Anolis sagrei: one gene and its partners. The protein of the gene in region 1 purifies or fractionates together with the protein of each later gene. This does not show direct contact. Links are inferred from orthologs where the notes say so. Each region holds a gene or a part of one and is shown in the gene's direction. Other genes may lie near its edges. The genes, in order: EBNA1BP2, NOP2 and BRIX1.

Region 1 (8,041 bases):
AATAGCAGCTGCTTTCTTATTTACATACGATTTAGTATTTGCTTCACTATCCTGTCACTTAGTGACAAGTTATTAAGTTTGATCTCTTGTCTTCTTGCCAATCAGAAAAGTTCAGAACTTTTTGAAGCACTGATATTTGTTTATATAAGACCATGAAGACTTACAAAATGTGTGCCAAGAAATCTTCAGCAGTCAGGAATAACATATGTATATTTAAACACAGGGTAGGCTGAAGATGACTAGGAGGATTCTTTTAATCTATTTATTTATTTATTTATTTGATGCACTTATTAACCGCCATTCTCAGCCCGTAAGGGCGACTCATGGCGGCGTACAGTACACATAAAAGACAATTACAAAAGCCATTTTCAACAACATATAAACAATACAACAAATTACAGACTACACTAAAAATCCGCTTTGTCTCTTAGTGGAATTATAGCCAGTCTCATATTCCTTGTTCCATTCCAGTTCTCATTACCGTATTGTTTTGTTGTTTAGCACTTAATTAATTAAATGCCCTCTCGAACAGCCATGTCTTAAGGCTTTTTCGAAAGGACATGAGGGAGGCCTTCATTTGTGATTAGGAAGCCAGTATGATCCTGATGTATGGGAACATATTTGTCAGAGAAACTCTTGCTCAGGTTCATGATTTTAGGTGTGCTGATTACATCCACCACCCACAACCCTTTTGAGGCTTTGTCTCCAGAACATTATATTTATGTTGTGAAGGAAAATACAAAAAAATAAGCACCCAAGGACTGAACCGGAACTATGGAAATCTCTACTTTTCTATACCTGAGATATTCCATTAGAAATGTTTACACATAATGCCAATTTCATGAGCAGAGCCGAGCCATCATCAAAATGACTAACCTAAGGCAGCTTCATATACTGGAATTTCTAGACTGGATTGTTAGTGCTTTGAAATCTGTCCTGCGCTTCTTTATAGTGATGGGGTTCTATCACAACAATCTCAAACCGAGACCTAATTCTAGGTTTGGACTATTTTGGGGACATGCAATTTATGAACAAAGACTACTGGATATACATTCAGTAACTGGAAGAGCAGGACAGTACTGCCTTAAGTGTAACTGCTGATCTAAAATATGTGTGTACCCTGCCTTCTGAGTACAGGAAAACATTGTGCAAAAGGAAGTTTGGAGCTTGGATTTCATGTTAACACCATTGTAACAATCACAGCTTCACTAACTGTGGTCTCCAATTGTGAAAAAGTATTCATTGAAGTAATAATGCAGTGAGAGTAAGTACCTGAGTATTATTTAAATGTGGCCTACCCAGGATATTCATCTTTGTCTTTCATCTTACCTGATAGAGGGGATTGTTCTGAGCATCAACCTTAATAATAGCCATTGTTCTTTGCTTTTCCCACATCCAATAGGCAAGGTGTGAATCAGGGGCCCCTGTCTGTGCCACTAGATACTTAGAATCCGGGGAAAATGCCAGGCTGATAAATTCTTGGACAGAGAAATCAAAGGAGTTCAGGACCTTTCGTTTCTTGCATGGGACAGAGGACAGTTCATAAACTGTGATAGTAGGTTTATCCTGGAGTGTCTCTGAAATGGCCAGATAGCGCCGATTTGGACTAATTGCCAGTGCAAGCATCCCTTGACTTTTCTCTGAGCCTGTAAAGCAAACACACATGTGCACATACAAGCAAAACTTCCATGAGCATAACCTGGAAACTTAAACATTTTTGTTATCCAAAATGACAATAAATCAATGCATGTTGGTATTGTATGGGAGACTGCCAATGAATATCAGGTGTGTGGGTTACATTTCAAAGGAAGGAACTGGCAGAACCATATCTACGGGTACAGCTACACTGTAAAATGCAGATAGTTTGACATCACTTTAATTGCCATAGTTCAATGCAATTGAACCACCAATTCACAGCAATGATGGGGGAAATCTTCAATGCATTAGACTAGGGCAGGCATGGGCAAACATCTGCCCTCCCAGTGTTTTGGACTTCAACTCCCACAATTCCTAACAGCCTACTGGCTGACAGGCACAACCTGGGGATCACAACCAGATACAGTGAAGACATCTGCCCTTGCACTTTGCTACGCTGCTGCTGAGTATGCAGGCCCAGTGTGGAACACATCTCACCACGCTAAATCAGTGGCTCTTAATGAGACATGCTGCATTATCACGGGGTGTCTGCGCCCTACACCATTGGAGAAATTACACTGTTTAGCCAGTATTGCACCACCTGACATCCGCCGGGAAGTAGCAACCAATAGTGAAAGGACCACGGCAGTAACATCTCCGGCCCATCCCCTGTTTGGATGTCAGCTAGCACGCCAACGCCTTAAATCAAGAAATAGTTTTGTAAGATCTACAGAGACACTTACTGGAACACCTAAGCAAACGAGAGTCCAAAAGTGGCAGGCTAAAATCCAGAACCTCAATTAATGGCTGATACCATGAGAGACTCTCTCCTGGGCACACAGAAGACTAGGCAACATGGAAGGCACTGAATGGACTGTGCTCTGGCACCACGAGATGCAGAGCCAACCTTAAGAAATGGGGCTACAAAGTGGAGTCCACGAGTGTGGAGAAGAGCAAACCACAGACCACCTACTACAATGCAACCTGAGCCCTGCCACATGCACAATGGAGAACCTTCTTATAGTAACACCTAAGACACTCCAAGTGGCCAGCTACTGGTCAAACAACATTTAATAGAATACCAAGTCTGCAAACTTTGTGTAAAATACAATACAACCTTTTGGTTCGCTCCTGACACGATAAATAAATACCAGTTGTTAGGAATTGTAGGAGTTGCAGTCCAAAATAACTGGAGGGCTGAAGTTTGCCCATGCTGGGACTAGAGCAGTATGTATACTGAAACAGACTGGAAAAGGCCCACTCCACCCTGTGCCTTTCCAGAATAGGAAAACTCCAATAACAAGTCCCAGAAGCACTTTATTAGAATTAAGATTGCTGGCACACTGCACTTACTCTATAATCCTTACATATCACCTGTCACTTCAGCACTTTTGATCTGTACCCATTACTCTGGCCCGGCCCAGTGTCTTGGTGTATTGCTTATTGCTTGTTGTGTAATTCTGCTTTAACTGTTTTTAATTTTTTAATTTGCTTTAGGTTGTGTATTGTTATGTTGTGTTTTGAGGCCTTGGCCTTTGTAAGCCCCATCGAGTCGTTCGGGAGATGCTAGCGGGGTACAAATAAAGTTAATAATAATAATAATAATAATAATAATAATAGCCTCTGGAAACACACTCACCAGTGACTTAAAATATTAACTTGTTGAATAGACAGCAGAAGGCAAAACAGAACTGCCTCTGAGTTCTGAACAGGGGCAGATTTTGGCATCCCTTTTGGGAAAAATAGCATTCATCAGGTCTTTTTCCTCTACACTGTGATTGCTTCCATTCACTTACACCCTACTCGCTTACACTCTCTGTCTGGGTCCAGCCCCCCAGCCCCAGCCCATTTCCAAAGGGGAATGTAGTATGTAGTACAGTGGTTCTCAACCTGTGGGTCCCCAGGTGTTTTGGCTTACAACTCCCAGAAATCCCAGTCAGTTTACCAGCTGTTAGGATTTCTGGGAGTTGAAGGCCAAAAACATCTGGGGACCCCAGGTTGAGAACCACTGGACTAGAGGAATGTGATGAAACACAGAGGTGTGGTGATACAGTGTTATCCAAAGGAAGTAGGATAATTAGGGGGTAAATATCAACAGATTGGGGCTGGATATACTCTGCAATATCAAACAGCTTGGAACTGCATTATATGGCCAGCTAGACATTGAACTGCATGATATGATAGGTTTACACTGAATATGTAAGAGCTGGACCTTAGGGAAGGCTGAGCGAAGGAAGATCGATGCTTTTGAGCTGTGGTGTTGGAGGAAAGTCCTGAGAGTGCCTTGGACTGCGAGAAGATCCAACCAGTCCATCCTCCAGGAAATAAAGCCCGACTGCTCATTGGAGGGAAGGATACTAGAGACCAAGTTGAAGTACTTTGGCCACATGATGAGGAGACAGCAAAGCCTAGAGAAGACAATTATGCTGGGGAAAGTGGAAGGCAAAAGGAAGAGGGGCCGACCAAGGGCAAGATGGATGGATGGCATCCTTGAAGTGACTGGACTGACCTTGAAGGAGCTGGGGGTGGTGACGGCCGACAGGGAGCTCTGGCGTGGGCTGGTCCATGAGGTCACGAAGAGTCGGACTGAATGAATGAACAACACCACACTGAATGTGAAATTTGTAGAATAGTTTTAGTAGTTGTGTGTTTGTTTTAGATTTAGTTTTGTTAGATGTCATAGTTTTAGTGGCTGAGAGGGAAAAGCAAGGGGCCTGAGACTGTTAGGAATTGTGGGAGCTGAAGTCCAAAACACCTGGAGTGCCGAAGCTTGCCCATGCCTGATGGAGATGGATTAAAACAGTGGTTCTTAACCTGTGGGTCCCCAGGTGTTTTGGCCTACAACTCCCAGAAATCCCAGCTGTTAGGATCTAACTGCTGCTACGATCTCTGGGAGCTGAAGGCCAAAACACCTGGGGACCCACAGGTTGAGAACCACTGGATGAAAACATCAATACACCTGGAGGGAGGTGGCTAGATTTACCTGGGATGAACTTCTGCCATTTCTGCTCAATGTGATACTTCACGCAGCTATTCCCCGCGGGGTACACTATGATCTGCTCGTCAAAGAAACAAATGTTATTGGCCACGCGAGACTGGAAGCCAAAGATGTGCAGCGCTTGGGCCACGATCACCGACATGGCGCCGCAGGTTCGGAGCCTGTGCCGGAAAAACGAGAGCAACCACCGCCTGACAGTCCGTCTCGGCCTCGCTTGCTCTGTCTGCAGCCTTGAGTCGACCAGGGAGACAACGCTTTACAGCCGGTTGCTATGGCAACAGCGTCCCGGATGTAGCACCCTCGAAAAAGATGGCCGAAACGAATCGGAAATGTCCCGTAGGACGTCACATCCGTACCGGAAGTAGCTGTTGTATGGTTTCCTCGTGTTCAGTCGGTGGGAGGTAAGTGTGCTTCTAACAGGCTGGGGTAAACTTCGGCCCTCCAGGTGTTTTGGACTGCAACTCCCACCATTCCTAACAGCCGGTAGGCTGTTAGGAATGGTGGGAGTTGTAGTCCAAAACACCTGGAGGGCCAAAGTTTGCCCATGCCTCGCATAGAGTGCAGTTTAAGACTAAAGCGATATTGAACTGCGTTAATTCTACAGTGTAGATGCACCCTGTTTCCAAAATTGGGGAGGAAACAGTTCAGACTAACTTTATACAAAGATAGTATTTTTTTTTCAACCTATACAACATTTAATCACCTATCTTTCTTACTCTAGTCTGAATGAATCATAATGGGATGCATATTTATTATTAGCGATGGTTAGATTGGATTTTTATGGTATATACCTGTATTGGCCAGTATTTTGGATTGCTTGCATTAATAAGTTGTTTTGATCTCGTGCATTTAGGTTATTTGTGCAGTTACTCCCATTTTAGCTCATGTTCCTGGGGGATGGAATGTGTTTTCTAACTATTTTGCCTTTCAGTGCAGCTTAGTTGAATCCAGTTATCATAAAAGGATCTGAGATGCCCCACATGGAAATGGACGAAGATTGGTCGTCGTCCTCAGATTCGGATGAGTCTCTTGTTACAGACCGTGAGGTGAGTTTGGACTGTTATTGTTTGTTCTGTGCAGGAGTGGGGGCGGGCCACTTTTTCTCTCTTAGGGGCATGGCTGAGTAGGGGATCTGATAATATACTGTTTCCCAAACTTTGGTTCTCCAGGTGTTTTGGACTTCAGCTCCCACAAGTCCTAACTGATGGTAAAATGGTTGGGATTTCTGGGTGTTGAAGTCCAAAACACCCGGAGGACCAAAGGTTGAAAACCACTGTGATAAACTAGTGACGTAAAGGACTGAGAGTTGTAGATGAGTTCCATATCAGTTTGGGATTGGCCCTGGTAACCATTTCTCTTCATAGGCTGCGATGGAAGGCCATTTTTTCATCTTGTTTAGAGCAAGGATGCTACATTGTTGTAATAGCTGTGTGTAGGATGCACAACTTCATTTCACAGTAATAGAAGCTGGAAACTGTATTTAAATATATCAATAACACCTAATGATATTTCATCTTTATGAACAATATTTTAAAGGTGCAAAGAACTTTATGTAGATTATCTCGATTAGAATAATAATAATAATAATAATAATAATACTTTATTTGTACCCCACTACCATCTCCCCAAGGGACTCGGTGTGGCTTACATGAGGCCGAGCCCAAAATACATCAATACAAGCAATAACAACAAAAATAAAAACAATTAAAATAAAGCTCATAAACAAAAAAGCAATAAACAGTGACAGTAATACAACACACATTTAAAATCTATGGCTGGGCCAAATCAAAGTTTAAAAAAAATAATGTTAGGCATGAACAAGATAGGAGAGAATATCCGATTAAATAGTGTTATTTTTGTATTAAAGGCAAGAAACGGAGTATGAAAGAACCTCATTGTGTCAAAACTTGAGGAAAAAAGATTTGACCAAGTGTCCACCAAATGACAATGCAGTGTCAGAACATGTCAATATAAAATAGATTTCTGCATTGACTATTTGGAACTGGAATGTGTGGTTTGGTCCTTCAGATAGTCAACTGCAATTTCCTTTCCCCCTAATTAGCATACCTTGTGGAGAAAAATTATGTGAATTGTAGTCTAATGACATCTGGAAGACTACATTATATCTTTTGATCATTCTCCTCATTCTCCTTATGTTTCTATGTATTGAGCATTTACACATTCCTTTCCGTTATCAAAGGGGTGACTAAATAAGCTTTTTTGATATTTGTGTATGGTAACACTATCCAAGAAAATGTACATATAAGATTTCTTTATGTAGCTCCAGCAGGCGTTTTCTAAAGGATCACTAAAGCCAGGCTTAAATGTTGTGCTTGAGGGACGGCCGAAAATTATCAACAATGTGGTGAGTCCTGTATGACTGTGACCCATGTGGAATCAGTTCATGTGTGTGGTTCATCTACTTCTCCAAGTGGAACATTTTGATTACTGAAAAAAACCCCAGTATTTTGCCAGAATGAAGTCATTGCAAATAAACTCCGGATGGTATTGAACTGGAGGTGGGGGTCATTTAAATACATTGGTATCTATTTGCTACACATAGCAAAATCAATTTGAAACATTCTGTCAAGGATATAAAATGTGGTCATTTATTCTTTTTCTTCAAGACAGAGAAGCTTGCATCAATTTCTGTTGATGTTGTCCTTGTTGAGGCAGAAGCACCTTCATTTTTGCTTATAGCTTATGACTAGGAAAAGCTTTTATTTTTAAAAAAACCTGGTGTCTCCTTGGCTAGGAAGCAGTAAATACAGTGTGTGATATCTAATGGGAATCTTAAGGGAATGCTTTTATCAGCATAAGATCTAGTTGATGGTTTTAGGGATGGGTGGGGATTTTCATACGATTGTTTTAGTTGTCATGACAGCACAGCCTTTCCCCAAGGTGCTGCACTAGAATCTACATCATGCAGATCTAGCATGGCCAATATTGGCTGAACATGTTGGAAGAAGTTGTAGTTCAACATGTGTGAAGAGCACTAGGTTGGAAAAAACTATTAAATAGTGTATGGAAGTTCTTTGTATTACTCTAATCCTCACATCATATTCTTCCTAGAATGGACTGAAGCAGTGCTTATCTGAGTTCCAGAGGGACTTGGACTGGGTTGAAAGGCTTGATCTTACCTCTTACCTGCCAACAAACACCACGAGTGCTCCTTCTAATCAAACCACTGACAATGATGCTGATGATCCTGAGGATGACTTCAAAAGAGAAATGAGTTTGTAAGTCTATTTCTTCTTGAGTTTCCTCACTGTAATTGGAAGCTTTGTGTGTTGTATTTTATTTATCCTCTTAACATAACAAAAGTTGGAACCCTAAGTTAAACCCTTGTGCCAGCTGAACTGGTTGAACAACAGGTTGGTAGTTCAGATCTGGGGAGTGGGGTAAGCT
Region 2 (7,131 bases), on another chromosome or scaffold:
GGGGATTTTTACAGTGTTAAGTGCCTTCTAGCCTGGCAACCACCCAAGCAGCAGCCAGGCTTTGCTTTTAGGTTAAAATGATCAGCTCTCACGTTTTGTGAGGATCGCAAATAATAACTCCAGTCTGATTTGGATTTATGAGGTTAATTCTTGAAAGGGCTAATCAAATATATTTTGTTTTTTCCATAAACGTTTTGTATACAAGCAGATGGTTATCAGACTATGGGAGGGAGCACCAGTTGCTGATTCTGTACTTTAGTCTCAGCTGTGGTTTTTTTGCCATGAATCAGCCTGAGAGTTACTGTTGTCAGAAGTGGGGAAAGTTTGCAAGAATCTCTTCCAAACTGGTAAAGCTGATGTATAAGTACGTGTACTTAGCTACTTAATGCAATGCTTTTGTTCCCAGAATGGTATTGTGTGAATCTATGAAATCTCAAAGATTCCATTTGTGTACTGATGACTTGCTTTAAGATCATAATTGTTAGGGAAAACTATGCGAAATAAAGCAGAGCATCCAAAAACAATCAGGATACAAAAAGTTGAGCATCAGCTCATTAGCAAGCAAAGCCAAGTGATATGGCTGTAGAGAATTCAGAGCTTAGGAGCCAATCTTTTAAAAAATCACAAAAGGTTTATTTACAACTAGCCGTCCCCTGCCACGCGTTGCTGTGGCCCACTCTGGTGGTCATGGGGGTTCTGTGTGGGAGGTTTGGCCCAATGTTATCATTGGTGGGGTTCAGAATGCTCTGTGATTGTAGGTGAACTACAAATCTCAGCAACTACAACTCTTAAATGTCAAGATTCTATTTTCCCCAAACTCCACCAGTGTTCACATTTGGGCATATTGAGTATTTGTGTAGAGTTTGGTCCAGATCCATCATTGTTTGAGTCCACAGTGCTCTCTGGATGTAGGTGAACTACAACTCCAAAAACCAAAGGACACTGCCCACCAAACCCTTCCAGTATTTTCTGTTGGACATGGGAGAACTATGTGCCAAGTTTGGTTCCATTCCATCCTTGGTGGGGTTCAGAATGCTCTTTGATTGTAGGTGAACTATACATCCCAGCAACTACAACTCCCAAATGACAAAATCATTTTTTGAGTGAAGGACATACATTGGGTTGTTAGGTGTCTTGTGTCCAAATTTGGTGTCAATTTGTCCAGTGGTTTTCGAGTTCTGTTAATCCCACAAACGAACATTACATTTTTATTTATATAGATAATAATGAACTACCTATATTTCTTCATGGTAAAGAACTGGGTCTGAGCTACTCCAACATCCATCTCTTCTAACATTTCAACAGAAGAGAAAACTCAATCATTACATCTCTCCTGACACACAAGCAGAGAGAGATCTCAAAGCACACAGCACATACTCTCCATACTAAAGTGTAGGAAGGCAGAAGTCTGATTCAAAAAGGTTTGCAGTAGAAAAGTATCCAATTTAAAGAATGAGAGCAGAAAGAAGAGATGAAAACAGACACATTCCCAACTGTCATACAGGAGACATGGGGGAAAGGAAAACTCTCAGACTATTCTAATGCTAACCAATTTCTCCTCATTGAGGGCTTGAGACTTGATCAGTGTGGGGTTGCATTCCAACAATAACAACACCCAAACTGTACCATCATTACATAGTTTGGGTGTATTGTATAGTATAGTATAGTATAGTATAGTATAGTATAGTAATGGCTTCGCTAGGAAGCTCTATATAACACAGCTAATGTTCTACTATCCACTAGAATCTGCATATCCCAGGGCATTTTCTCCTTAAACAAGAATTTGGGGTTGGAGTGGGCAGGCGGGTAGATAGGCTTAAATTAGGCACAGGCCTGAGTCCCTCAGGACCACAAGCGCAGGATTGCTGATGTCTTGGAGGTCCAAACAGCTACTATAAGACAAGTAAAATCGTGAGACAAGCAGAAATGGCAGAAATAGCCTACAGAGCTTTCCAACCATTTCATGTTGGTGACACACTGTTTACACATGCATCACAACATATCTCATGAAAATCGTTTATTTTTATTTTTTGTTGTTGTAGGTTTTTCCAGACTATATGGCCATGTTCTAGAGGCATTTTTTTCCTGACGTTTTGCCTGCATCTTTGGCAAGCATCCTTAGAGGTAGTGAGGTCTATTGAAACTAGGAAAATGGATTTATATATCTGTGGAATGACCAGGGTAGGACAAAAAACTCTTGTCTGCTGGAGTTAGGTGTGAATGTTTCAACTGACCACCTTGATTAGCATTTGATGGCCCTGGCAGTGCCTGGGGCAATCTTTTGTTGAGAGGTGATTGGATGTGCCTGATTGTTTCCCCTCTGTTTTGCTGTTGTAATTTTAGAGTTTTTTAAATACTGGTAGCCAGATTTTGTTCATTTTCATGGTTTCCTCCTTTCTGTTGAAATTGTCCACATGCTTGTGGATTTCAATGGCTTCTATGTGTAGTCTGACATGGTGGTTGTTGGTGTGGTCCAGCATTTCTGTGTTCTCAAACAATATGCTGTGTCCAGGTTGGTTCATCATATTTTTATTTTTGTAAATAAAAATGTAACACAAAACTCAGAGGTTTTGTGTTAACATTCGCGCAACACACCCATGCACTCCAGTTGACACAGTACAACACACAGATTGTAAAGCTCTGTTCTACTTGTTTAAATTGCAAAGGATAGTCTACTGTTAGGACAGAGTAAAAAAAAAAGCCAGAAACAAAGCATACAGAGTATGAACATGCAAATATATTTAGCCAAGTGCTTTTTTATATCTACGTGTATGTTACTACTGAGATATTCTACAACTGAGTTCGTAAGGTAGCAACATGGTTGTAATATTTCTAAACTGTTTCGGATACTTTGGGACATGTCTTTTCAGCCATGATTGTTTCTTGTCTGGAGTTCCTCTGTTCTTGAGTGTTGTTTACTCTCCTGATTTTTGATATTTTTTTAAAATATTGGTAGCCAGATTTTGTTCATTTTCATGGTTTCTTCCTTTCTGTTGAATGTGTCTACATGCTTGTGGATTTCAGTGGCTTCTCTGTGTCGTCTGACATGGTGGTTGTGAGAGTGGTCCAGCATTTCTGTGTTCTCAAATAATATGCTGTGCCCAGGTTGGCTCATCAGGTGCTCTGCTATGGCTGGCTTCTCTGATTGAACGAGTCTGCCCTGCCTTTCATGTTTCTTGGGACAGCTTTTCTTTTTTTTGGTCGTGTCAGGAGCGACTTGAGAAACTGCAAGTCGCTTCTGGTGTGAGAGAATTGGCCGTCTGCAAGGACGTTGCCCAGGGGATGCCCGGATTATTTTTTATGTTTTATCATCCTTATGGGAGGCTTCTCTCATGTCCCCCCATGAGGAGCTGGAGCTGATAGAGGGAGCTCATCCGCCTCTCCCTGGATTCGAACCTGCGACCTGTCGGTCTTCAGTTCTGCCGACACAGAGATTTAACCCACCTCGCCACCGGGGGCTTGGGACAGCTAATCAGCTCTCAACAAAGGATTCCCCCGGGCAGTAAGAAGCTACACCTTGAATCTGCTAGGCCATCAAATGCTAATCAAGGTGGCCAATTGCAACATTCACACTTGCCTCAAGCAAAGAAGAGTCCTTTCTCCCACCCTAGACTTTCCATAGATATATAAACCTCACTTGCCTAATTTCCAACAGACCTCATAATCTTTGAGGATGCCTACCACAGATGCGGGCGAAACGTCAGGAGAGAATGCTTCTGGAACATGGCCATACAGCCCGAAAAACTTACAACAACGAAGTCCAAAACACCTGGAGGACTTTGTTTTAAAGAGTAGGCAAAGCACTGCATACCACCTTAATCCTGTAGCTGCCTCCTGCAGAATTATGGGACTTGTAGTTCAGAGAGGCGAAGAAAAGATCTCGCTAGTCTAGCTGGTTCCTCCGTAGACCACAAGCCCCAGGATTTAAAGTGGAACGCACCCTCTTTAACCTATTCCGGACGCAGAAGCGTATCACCCGCTGTCCAATCCCAAGGCGGAGAGCTCTAGCGGAAGGCGCCCCCGTGGCCAATGAGAGCCTCCTCCTGAGGCGGAAGTGCGCGTGGCCGAGGAGGAGGCGGGCCTGCAATCCACGTGCGCGCTTTCGGGGAGCGAGGCCTGAGCAGCATGGGGCGCAAACTGGACCCGGCGAAGAAGGTCAAGCGGGGGCCCGGGCGCAAGGCCCGCAAGCAGCGCGGCGCCGAGGAGGAGCTGGCCGGGTTCCTGCCTCCCGGTGAGTCGGGCCAGGGCTGCCTTGGCCGTGGAAAGCCCTCGGGATGGGCCGAGGCCTCAGGGGCAGAGCACAGCCCTCGCCACAGCATCCCGGGAGTTGCCCTTTGCGGGGAGGCCCCGGCCCTCTTGGGCAGAGAAGGCGGGAGACCTTGTGAAACCACAACTCCCAGGGTTCCTGGCCCTTGATCCGTGCGTGGCCCTTCAAGGAGCCGCATCCTGGGTGGGAGATATAGTGCTCTGTCAGGTCGGAAGTGGACTCATTATATGAGACTGCACTGCCATAGAATCCAGATTATCTGCTTTGGATTGGATTCTGTGGCAGTGTAGACTCATATAATCCGGTTCAAAGCAGATAATGTGGCTTGTCTGCTTTGATAATCTGGATTATATGGCAGTGTGGAAGGGACCTGGTTTATATGGCAGTATAGACTCATATAATCCACTTCAAAGCTGGTAACGTGGATTGTCTGCTTTGATAATCTGGATTATATGGCAGTGTGGAAGGGACCTGGATTATATGGTAGTGTAGACTCATATAATCCACTTCAAAGTTGGTAACGTGGCTTGTCTGCTTTGATAATCTGGATTATATGGCAGTGTGGAAGGGGCCTGGATTACATGGAAGTGTAGACTCATATAATCCACTTCAAAGATGGTAACGTGGATTATCTGCTTTGATAATCTGAATTACATGGCAGTGGGGAAGGGACCTGGATTATATGGTAGTGTAGACTCATATAATCCACTTTAAAGCAGATAATGTGGATTGTGTGCTTTATTCATCTGGATTATATGGCAGTAGACGGGGTTTTACAGAGTTCCAGGGAGAAATTGAAGTGGTTCAGTCATGGGACTGGTTTCTACAGCCCTTTTATACTGCCGTATAAGATTATCTGTTTTGAACTGGGTTATATGACAGTGTAGACATATAATCTAGTTCAAACAGGTAATGTAGATTATCTCATTTAATAATCTGGATTACATGGCAGTCTAGAAGGGGCCAATCTAATCAAAGCATTTATCTCTGATATGTCTAAATGAAGAATGGGCATCCACTGGATTCTCACTAACCTTAGAGGATGATTAGGCAGTTGGAGGGCAAGGAGAGAGATTTTCTTGAAAGGCAAATTGTGGTCATAAATATGGGAGGCAGGACAGTTACTGCTAAATAAGCATCATACCGCCAATGAAAGGGAAACTCACAACACTGAATCCACAAACATTTGCACATATGTACAGGCCTTTGCTTTGATGGTCTGGATTTTATGGCAGTGTAAAAGGAGCTTCATATACTCTGGGACTTCCAAATTCAGACAGACAGCGTTTTGGAGCACAATACTCCTGACCTCACAATCATGTTTAAAAACAAAGTATGGATTGTCAATGTTGCAATCCCAGGTGACAGCAGGATTGAAGAGAAACAACTGAAAAAACTTGACACGATATGAGGATTTAAAAATTGAACTGCAAAGACTCTGGCACAAGCCAGTCAAGGTGGTCCCAGTGGTGATCGGCACACTGGGTGCAGTGCCTAAAGACCTTGGCCTGCACTTAAACACAATCGGCGCTGACAAGATTACCATCTGCCAGCTGCAAAAGGCCACCTTACTGGGATCTGCACACATTATTCGCCAATACATCACACAGTCCTAGACACTTGGGAAGTGTCCGACATGTGATCCAATGCAACAGCCTGCGTCTGCTGTGGACTCATCTTGTTGTGTTTCAAATAATACTAATGATGATGATGATGATAGCAGCAGCAGCCATCCTTATGGCTCGATGTTTCTTCTAGACTGGAAATCTTGCCATTGTCCTTGTTGGGATTTTGTGCATATTTTGCCTTGGGCCCTTCCACATAGCCATATAACCCAGAATATCAAGGCTGATAACCCAGAATATCTGCTTTGAACTGGGTTATCTGAGTCCACACTACCATATATTCCAGTTCAAAGCAGATAATGGGCGATTTTATTCAGCTGTGAGAAAGCAGGCCTACTGCTACTCCTTTTGTGGAAAACACAGATCTCTGTCACACTACACTTTAAAGTATAGGATTTAGAGTGTGCATTCCACCATAGGATCCTGGGATATGTGGTTTGTAGAGGCATCATCCTTTTTTGGCAGAGAAAGCTAAAAACCTTATGAAACTACAGCTCCCATGGTCCCATAGCATGGATCCACAGCAGTTAAAGTGGTGTCAGACTGCACTAATTCTACAGTGTGAATGCAACCTTGAATTCAGCTAGGAGCTCTTGATGTTGTTCTAGCTGTGCTTACTCTCTTGATCAGCCTCCTATAGAGATTGATATGTCTATGTTTTTCTTCCAAGACCCTGATGACAATATAAAGAAGCTCTCCAGTCACGCACGACGAAGGTTAGTAGGAAAGTCACCAAAATTTGCTAACAGTTCAGAATATAACTTCCTCTTCATTTATAAACTGTTAAAAATTATAACATCCTTTTTTAAAATACGGCTTCTCAAACCTATTGAGAATTTGTTGGTTGCTCATAAATATCAGGGTGTTATATTGTGTGTTACTAAAGATTAAAATCAAGTGTGAGAATTTACAATCGAATAAACAATAGATGGCTGTCATTTTAGGCCACCTAATGGAATTAATCACAACCTCTGAGGATGCTTGCTACAGATGCAGGCGAAACATCAGGAGAGACTGCTTCTAGAACATGGCCATATAGCCCGAAAAACCTACAACAACCCAATTGTTTATTCATTTCTTAAAAGCATTTATAGCCTGTTCTTCAGCCAAAAATAATCCCTGAATGTTTCAAAGCTATTCCGTTTTCTTTGGTTTTGACTTTGCTTTGTGCACCGTATGGCCACAGATAATACATATAACAAGGAGAAACTGGCCTATATGTTTGTGGGTCGCATGGAT
Region 3 (7,836 bases), on another chromosome or scaffold:
CATCTTGTATAATAGGCTTGGTGAATGTAATCTACCAAAACCCACATAGAGGAAATACCTGGGGACGAACTTGTTCCAAAGATGGTCAAGCAGTCTAAAAGAACAGACAGGTTGATTCTGAACATCACAGATTCTTCCTGAACCATAAACTCTTGGAAAATACCTGCCTGTAAATTGGAAAGACAAGAAACTTGAAAAATTTCAACCGGTACCAACATTATAGTAAGACAATTAAATTGGCAATTTACCATGCATGTGTCCTTGTAACCCAACTCAGAATAACAAAACCAAAAAAGAAAATGGGATTTTTTTTTCTAAACAAAACTCCCTTTTCCTCATTCGATCGTATTATCTCATTACTATCACAGTACAGTACTCTATGGCCCCATCTACATTGTCATATAAAATCTGGATTATCTGCTTTAAACTGGATTATATGGTATTGTAGACTAAGGCCCCTTCCACACAGCTGTATAAAAGCAACATTGAGCTGGAATATATGGCAGTGTGGACTCAGATAATTCAGTTCAAAGGAGATATTATGGATTATCTGCCTTGATATTCTTGGTTATATGGCTGTGTGGAAGGGCCCTAATATATGGCTGTATAGAAGGAACCTTAAAGCCCTTTAAGACAGGCCCTATATCCCAGGATCTAATCCCAGGTTTTCTGTTTATCCCAGATTATATGGCAGTGCAAACTCAGGGCCCTTCCACACAGCCATATAACCCAAAATACCAAGGCACAACATCCCAGAATATCTGCTTTGAACTGGGTTACCTGAGTCTACACTGCCACATATTCCAGTTCAAAGCAGATAATGTGGGATTTTATTCAGCTGTGTGGAAGGGGCTCTCATATAATCCAGTTTAAAGCAGAAAACTTGGGATCTGATCCTGGGATATAGAGCCTGTCTGGCAGGGCCCTTAGTTTGCCAGATACTGCTATCTCCCATAGGACTTTCACATGTTATTCCCAATGTTCCTTTAATTCCTCCTCCTGAATCCAAGTCATTCCAGAGCACTAAAAGGAAAGGAAATGCTGCCATCTCACCTGTATAAATGCATTGGCCTGCAAACACTTTGCATTTTCGACTGTCACTTTGAGTCCATTTGTAGTAGCAACACAGGTGGCGTGATCTTTAAAATGAATGGCTTTCAGGATATTGGACAGGTTCCTGACATTGTCAAGATTTGCTACCAAAACGTTCTGTTCTTCACCTGTTTCTGCTTGAGTCGATAGAGGCATGGCTTGGAGAAGTCACTCCACAGTCTCCCCTCCAAGGGCAGGGATTCCCAGAGGAGACCTGTAAAGATCCAATTGCATTATAGTTAAATTGAGAAGTCATAAAATATTATATGAGCATCAGGGACCCAGTTGCTCTGAATTAGAAAAGGGAAAACATGTGCGAAACAGTGCACCGAGTGAGAGACGCAGCTGCGGCAGGATACCAGTGAAGTAATGTAAGAGTGACCGCATTTAATTCATTTTTCACCGCTCCTCATATTTCTCCCTTCCTTTTTATCCTTCCTTCCAATGCAACAACGTTTTTGAATATCTCCAGATAGCCTACATCAGTATGCTTGGCTGTGCCTCCCCCCCTTTCTACCAAACTACCTTGTTGACTCCATCGTAGCTTCATCTTTCACTAAGTGCAGTCTCTCGCACACATGGTGCTGTGTCTGGTGCACGTGTTCCCTTCTCTAATTCAGAGCCGCGTTATGCAACCACTGGGTCCAAGCTATTATACTTTCACCGCTTTTGGGAGGCACAGGGTGCATCTACTACACCAAGCATGGGCAAACTTTGGCCCTCAGGGTATTTTGGACTTCAACTCCCACAATTCCGAACAGCAAGTAGGCTGTTAGGAACTGTGGGAGTTGAAGTCCAAAACACCCAGAGGGCTGAAGTTTGCACATTAATGCAGATCAACACAACTTTAACAGCCATGGCTCAATGAGACCATGGGAGGTCTTTAGCTTTATCTGCTAAAGAATGCTGGTGCCTCACCAAACTACAACTCCCAGGATCCCATAGCATTGAGCCATGGCAGTATGAAACTAGAATCATAGAATCATTGAGCTGGAAGAGACCTCATGGGCCATCCAGTCCAACCCCTTGCCAAGAAGCAGGAAAATTGCATTCAAAGCAACCCTGACATATGGCCATCCAGCCTCTGTTTAAAAGCTTCCAAAGAAGGAGCCTCTACCACACTCCGGGGCAGAGAGTTCCACTGCTGAACAGCTCTCACACGAAGTTCTTCCTAATGTTCAGATGGAATCTCCTTTCTTGTAGTTTGAAGCCAGTGTTCCTCGCCCTAGTCTCCAGGGCAGCAGAAAACAAGCTTGCTCCCTCCTCCCTATGACTTCCCCTCACATATTTATGCATGGCCCTCATCATGTCTCCTCTCAGCCTTATCTTCTGAAAGCTAAACATGCTCTTTAAGCCGCTCTTCACAGGGCTTGTTCTCCAGACCCTTGATCATTCTAGTTGCCCTCCTCTGGACACATTCCAGCTTGTCAACATCTCCCTTCAATTGTGGTGCCCAGAACTGGACACAGTGTGATTCCAGGTGTGGTCTGACCAAGGCAGAACAGAGGGGGAGCATGACTTCACTGGATGTAGACACTATACTCCTATTGATGCAGTCCAAAATCCCATTGGCTTTTTTTTTTTTTTTGGAACCAAATCACATTGTTGGCTCATGTTTAACTTGTTGTCTACGAGAACTCCAAGATCTTTTTCATACGTACTGCTCTCGAGCCAGGCATCCCCCATTCTGTATCTTTGCATTTCATTTTTTCTGCCTAAGTGGAGTATCTTCCATTCGTCACTGTTGAACTTCATTTGTTAGTTTTGGCCCATCTCTCTTATCTGTCAAGATCGTTTTGAATCCTGCTCCTGTTCTCTGGAGTATTGGCTCTCCCTCCCAATTTGGTGTCGTCTGCAAACTTGATGATCCTGCCTTCTAACCCTTCATCTAAGTCAGGGGTCCTCAAACTAAGGCCCGGGGGCCAGATATGGCCCTCCAAGTCATTTACCCGGCCCTCGCTCAGGGTCAACCTAAATCTGAAATTATTTGAAAGCACACAACAACAACAACAATCCTATCTCATCAGCCAAAAGCAGGCCCACACTTCCCATTGAAATACTAATAAGTTTATATTTGTTAAAATTGTTCTTAATTTTAATTATTATATTGTTTTAATTGTTTTCTGCACTACAAATAAGACATGTGCAGTGCACAAAGGAATTCATTCATGTGTTTTTCAAATTATAATCCGGCCCTCCAACAGTTTGAGGGACTGTGACCTGGCCTTCTGTTTAAAAAGTTTGAGGACCCCTGATCAAAGTTATTAATAAAGATGCTGAACTACATTAATATTACACTGTAGATGCATCCAAAGCCAGGCAAAAATTCAACAAACAAAATGAAGTTCAACAGTGACAAATGCAAGATACTCCACTTTGGCAGGAAAAACGAAATGCAAAGATACAAAATGGGGGACGCCTGGCTTGAGAGCAGTACGAGTGAAAAAGATCTTGGAGTCCTCGTGGACAACAAGTTAAACATGAGCCAACAATGTGATGTGGCGGCAAAAAAAGCCAATGGCATTTTGGCCTGCATCAATAGGAGCATAGTGTCTAGATCTAGGGAAGTCATGCTACCTCTCTATTCTGCCTTGGTTAGACCACACCTGGAATATTGTGTCCAATTCTGGGCACCTCAATTCAAGAGAGATATTGACAAGCCGGAATGTGTCCAGAGGAGGGCGACTAAAATGATCAAGGGTCTGGAGAACAAGCCCTATGAGGAGCGACTTAAGGAGCTGGGCATGTTTAGCCTGAAGAAGAGATGGCTGACAGGGGATATGATAGCCATGTATAAATATGGGAGAGGAAGCCACAGGGAGGAGGGAGCAAGCTTGTTTTCTGCCTCCCTGGAGACTAGGACGCAGAACAATGGCTTCAAACTACAAGAGAGGAGATTCCATCTGAACATGAGGAAAAACTTCCTGACTGTGAGAGCCATTCAGCAGTGGAACTCTCTGCCCTGGAGTGTGGCAGAGGCTCCTTCTTTGGAAGCTTTTAAACAGAGGCTGGATGGCCATCTGTCAGGGGTGATTTGAATGCAATATTCCTGCTTCTTGGCAGGGGGTTGGAATGGATGGCCCATGAGGTCTCTTCCAACTCTTTGATTCTATGATAAGTGAGCCTTACCTGCTTGACAGCTGGAAGGTAGCAGCCAAAGAGGAATTGCCAGCCTATTGGTTGAAAGGTGGAAAAGGCACGACAGGGAAATGCAAAGCAACTGGTAGTAGTTGCTTTACGACAAGTTGTAAAAGAGCCTCTCATTCGCTCTGCAGCGACAGGGGGAGGAGCAGCAAAGCTTCCTCTCTGTGTCCCTTGCCAAAGAAAGCCCTCTGAAACCTATGGGGTCGCCATAAATTGCAGAGAGACTGAGAAACGTGCAAAGCTAAGGCTCTTTAGCCTTCTCTGCCAGTCACTGCACTAAAATACAAATCCCTGGAGCCATGGCAGTTAAAGCGGGACCAAACCGCATTAATTCCACAGTGTAGATGCCTCCCAGGTCACAAGCAACTCTTGCTGAAATTCTCTTAAGAAACTCACAATGCCATTCGACCTAATATGAACCCATATTTCCCTCCTGCTCTCAGCCTCTGATCAAGCCGGAAGTGTGTGCCTAGGGATGGAACTCTCTGGTTGATGAATTCTTGGAGCGTCCGCTTGGTGACGCCACTTCCGCTTCCTCTGAGGGCGGCAGGCAAAGATGGCGGCGGGCAAGAGGCAGCGTGGAGGCGCCGGGCAAGGCAACGCGGCGGGGCCGAAAAGGAAGCGGGCGAAGAAGGCTCCGGAGGCCAAAGCCAAGAGGGAAGAGAAAGAAGTTCCTGCCGGAGGGCCGGGCCCAGAGGAGCACCACATCCCGGCCCCGGTCTCGCAGGTGAGACGGAGATTCCACCTACACCAGGCCTGGGCCAACTTGGGCCCTCCCTCCAGGTGTTTTGGACTTCAACTCCCACAATTCCTAACAGCCTACCAGCCTATTGTGGGAGTTGAAGTCCAAAACACCTGGAGAGAGGGCCCAAGTTGGCCCAGTACTGTTCTATACCATTCAGCCATATAGTGTAGATGCACCTCATGTGGTATCTAGAGATGTAATGTTCAAGGCGATTCCCCCTCTTCCCAGAACTGATCTGTATCGTCCTTGTATCTTTCAGGGCAAATGGAAAAACAAAGAGAGGGTGCTCATTTTTTCCTCCAGAGGCATAAATTTTAGGACAAGGCACCTGATGAAAGACCTGCGAACACTGATGCCTCACTCCAAAGCAGGTAATTTCAGATATTGCATGTATTTGGTTTCTAGTAAGCTGTTTATTTATCGTGTCAGGGGCAGACCGAACAGTTGCATTGCATTTTTAAACAAACAAACAAACAAAACACAAAGTTTGCAAGCTTGGTAGTTGATTAATTTATTATTTTATTTATTTACTTACTTACTTTATTTGTATACCGCTCTTCTCAGCCCTTAGGCGACTCAGAGCGGTTTACAACAGTTTAGGTATACACAATACAAAATCATTAGGCATTTAAAAGCAATAGCATCACAAATCATTAAACATCAGCATCAATACATCAGTACATCAATATAACAAATCCATCAGGTCTCATCAATGAAATCAGAATCCAAACTCATTATCCATTATTCCGTGTTCCGATAATCAGTCAATTAGTCACACTGCTTAGTCGAATGCCTTAAACAGCTAGGTCTTTACTTTCCTCCGGAATGCCAGTAAGGAGGGGGTCGATCTAATATCCGCAAGAAGGGCGTTCCACAGCCGAGGGGCCACCACTGAGAAGGCCCTGTCTCTCGTCTCACCAGGCGTGCTTGTGAAGCTGGCGGGATCGAGAGCAGGGCCTCCCCAGACAATCTTAATGTCCTAACTGGTTCATAGGATTAAATGTCCTTTGACCAGTAGCTGGCCACTTGGAGTGCCTCTGGTGTTGCTGCAAGAAGGTCCTCCATTGTGCATGTAGCAGGGCAGTAGGTGGTCTGTGGTTTGCTCTTCTCCACACTCGCAGGTCATGGATTCCACTTTGTGGCCCCATTTCTGAAGGTTGGCTCTGCATTTGAATTCAATATTCCTGCTTCTTGGCAGGGGGTTGGACTGGATGGCCCATGAGGTCTCTTCCAACTCTTTGATTCTATGATATCGTGGTGCCAGAGCGCAATCTGTTCAGCGCCTTCCAAGTTGCCCAGTCCTCTGTGTACTCAGGGGGGAGTCTCTCATTACATATCAGCCATTGATTGACGTTCTGGGTTTGAGCCTGCCATTTTTGGACTCTCGCTTGCTGAGGTGTTGCAGCGAGTGTCTCTGTAGATCTTACAAAACTATTTCTTGATTTAAGTCGTTGATGTGCTGACTCCAGCTCATCCAAACAGGGGATGAGCTGGAGATGTCACTACCTTGGCCCTTTCACTATTGGTTGCTACTTCATGGCAGATGTCAGATCGTGCAGTACTGGCTAAACAGTGTAATTTCTCCAGTGGTGTTTCTCTAGTAAGCAGAAAGGTCTGGAAACCAAGCCCTATGAGGAAAGGCTTGGAGAAAGAGACATGAGAGTCGTGTTTAAATATTTGAAAGAATGTAACAGCAAAAGTATGATAGCTGGGACCCTACGCTGGTTGCGCACCGTGGGCCAGAATTCATGAAGGGAAGACGTGCGCGAGACAGCGCAGCAAGTCAGAGATGCAGCTGCAAGGGAAGGAGGAGCTGTGTTTTTTTATTTATTTATTTAAATAAATAAACAATAATATTTATTTACTATATTTGTAAATATAGTATTTATTTACTATAGTTGTATACCACTCCTCTCAGCCCGGAGGCGACGTGAGGTGTTTACAGTCGGCAGTCAATGCCCCAGAACATAAAATACAGTCAAAAACATTACGTATAATACAAAACATAAAAGCAATAAAAGAATAAAGCCATAAAGCACAAGTCCTCAGCGTCCCATCATTAAAATCATTTTTCCGTCACGTCGTCCAATTGTTCCATGAGTCTTAATTAATAAGTTATACTGTGTCTGCAAATGCCTGCTCAAACAGCCAGGTTTTAACTCTCTTTCGGAATGTTAGGAGGGAGGGGGCAAATCTAATATCCCTAGAGAAGGCGGTCCATAGCCGAGGGGCCACCACTGAGAAGGCCCTGTCTCTCGTTCCCACCAATCACATCTGTTGTAGGGCTCACACATCCAGCCCTCCCGTAGCCCTGGCTCCTCCACTGTCAGAAAGCGGGTGGGGAAAAGCAGAAGAAAAGGGGAAGGGTTGGTGGGATCCCGTGCCTGCCACTCTGTTTGCACTAGGGCCTGTAAAAACCTTCCGGGCCACCAGCACACTTTTTGCCCTTCGAAGAAAGCAGCCCCAGCAGCTGGAAACAGTCCAAGCAGACTTCCCTTCATTAATTCCGACGTGGGTTGTGCAACTGCCATAGGGTTCGTTGGGTCCTAGCTATCATACTTTTGCCGATGTCACATTGAGGGAGAGGGCAAGCTTGTTTTCTGTGGCTCTGGACAGCAGGACACAGAGCAATGGATTCAAATTGCAGGAAAATTAGAATATCCTGATGTTAAGTTAAGCTGTGGAATATGCTTCCTCAGAACATGGTTGAACTTTTTATTCAGAAACTGAACGGCCATTTGTCTGGAGTGCTTTTATTGTGTTTTTCCTTTATGACAGAAGGGGTTTGGACTGGAAAGGCCCTTGTGGGATCTTCCAATTCTTTGATTCAGTGATGCTGACTTATGTGTACAAAC

The links.
Region 2: the proteins of EBNA1BP2 (region 1) and NOP2 fractionate together in Homo sapiens (co-fractionation; 3 studies listed by BioGRID and IntAct, with this or other methods). This does not show direct contact. The link is inferred for Anolis sagrei from reciprocal best matches to the Homo sapiens genes EBNA1BP2 and NOP2.
Region 3: the proteins of EBNA1BP2 (region 1) and BRIX1 purify together in Homo sapiens (affinity purification with mass spectrometry; 4 studies listed by BioGRID and IntAct, counting the BioPlex papers as one, with this or other methods). This does not show direct contact. The link is inferred for Anolis sagrei from reciprocal best matches to the Homo sapiens genes EBNA1BP2 and BRIX1.

What each region holds. Positions count from the first base shown.
Region 1 is NC_090024.1:183,205,641-183,213,681, forward strand, and holds the start of EBNA1BP2 (probable rRNA-processing protein EBP2), read left to right. Parts: upstream 1-4,961; 5' UTR 4,962-5,034; intron 5,035-5,564; 5' UTR 5,565-5,604; coding exon 5,605-5,679; intron 5,680-6,914; coding exon 6,915-6,998; intron 6,999-7,705; coding exon 7,706-7,872; intron 7,873-8,041. Other genes in the region: CFAP57 (cilia- and flagella-associated protein 57), read right to left, coding at 1,330-1,646, 4,619-4,775. UniProt on the Homo sapiens protein: Required for the processing of the 27S pre-rRNA.
Region 2 is NC_090022.1:197,352,233-197,359,363, reverse strand, and holds the start of NOP2 (28S rRNA (cytosine(4447)-C(5))-methyltransferase), read left to right. Parts: upstream 1-4,047; 5' UTR 4,048-4,125; coding exon 4,126-4,231; intron 4,232-6,562; coding exon 6,563-6,608; intron 6,609-7,131. UniProt on the Homo sapiens protein: S-adenosyl-L-methionine-dependent methyltransferase that specifically methylates the C(5) position of cytosine 4447 in 28S rRNA. Required for efficient rRNA processing and 60S ribosomal subunit biogenesis.
Region 3 is NC_090022.1:280,049,620-280,057,455, reverse strand, and holds the start of BRIX1 (ribosome biogenesis protein BRX1 homolog), read left to right. Parts: upstream 1-4,749; 5' UTR 4,750-4,792; coding exon 4,793-4,963; intron 4,964-5,240; coding exon 5,241-5,352; intron 5,353-7,836. Other genes in the region: cell cycle checkpoint protein RAD1, read right to left, coding at 59-167, 1,054-1,248. UniProt on the Homo sapiens protein: Required for biogenesis of the 60S ribosomal subunit.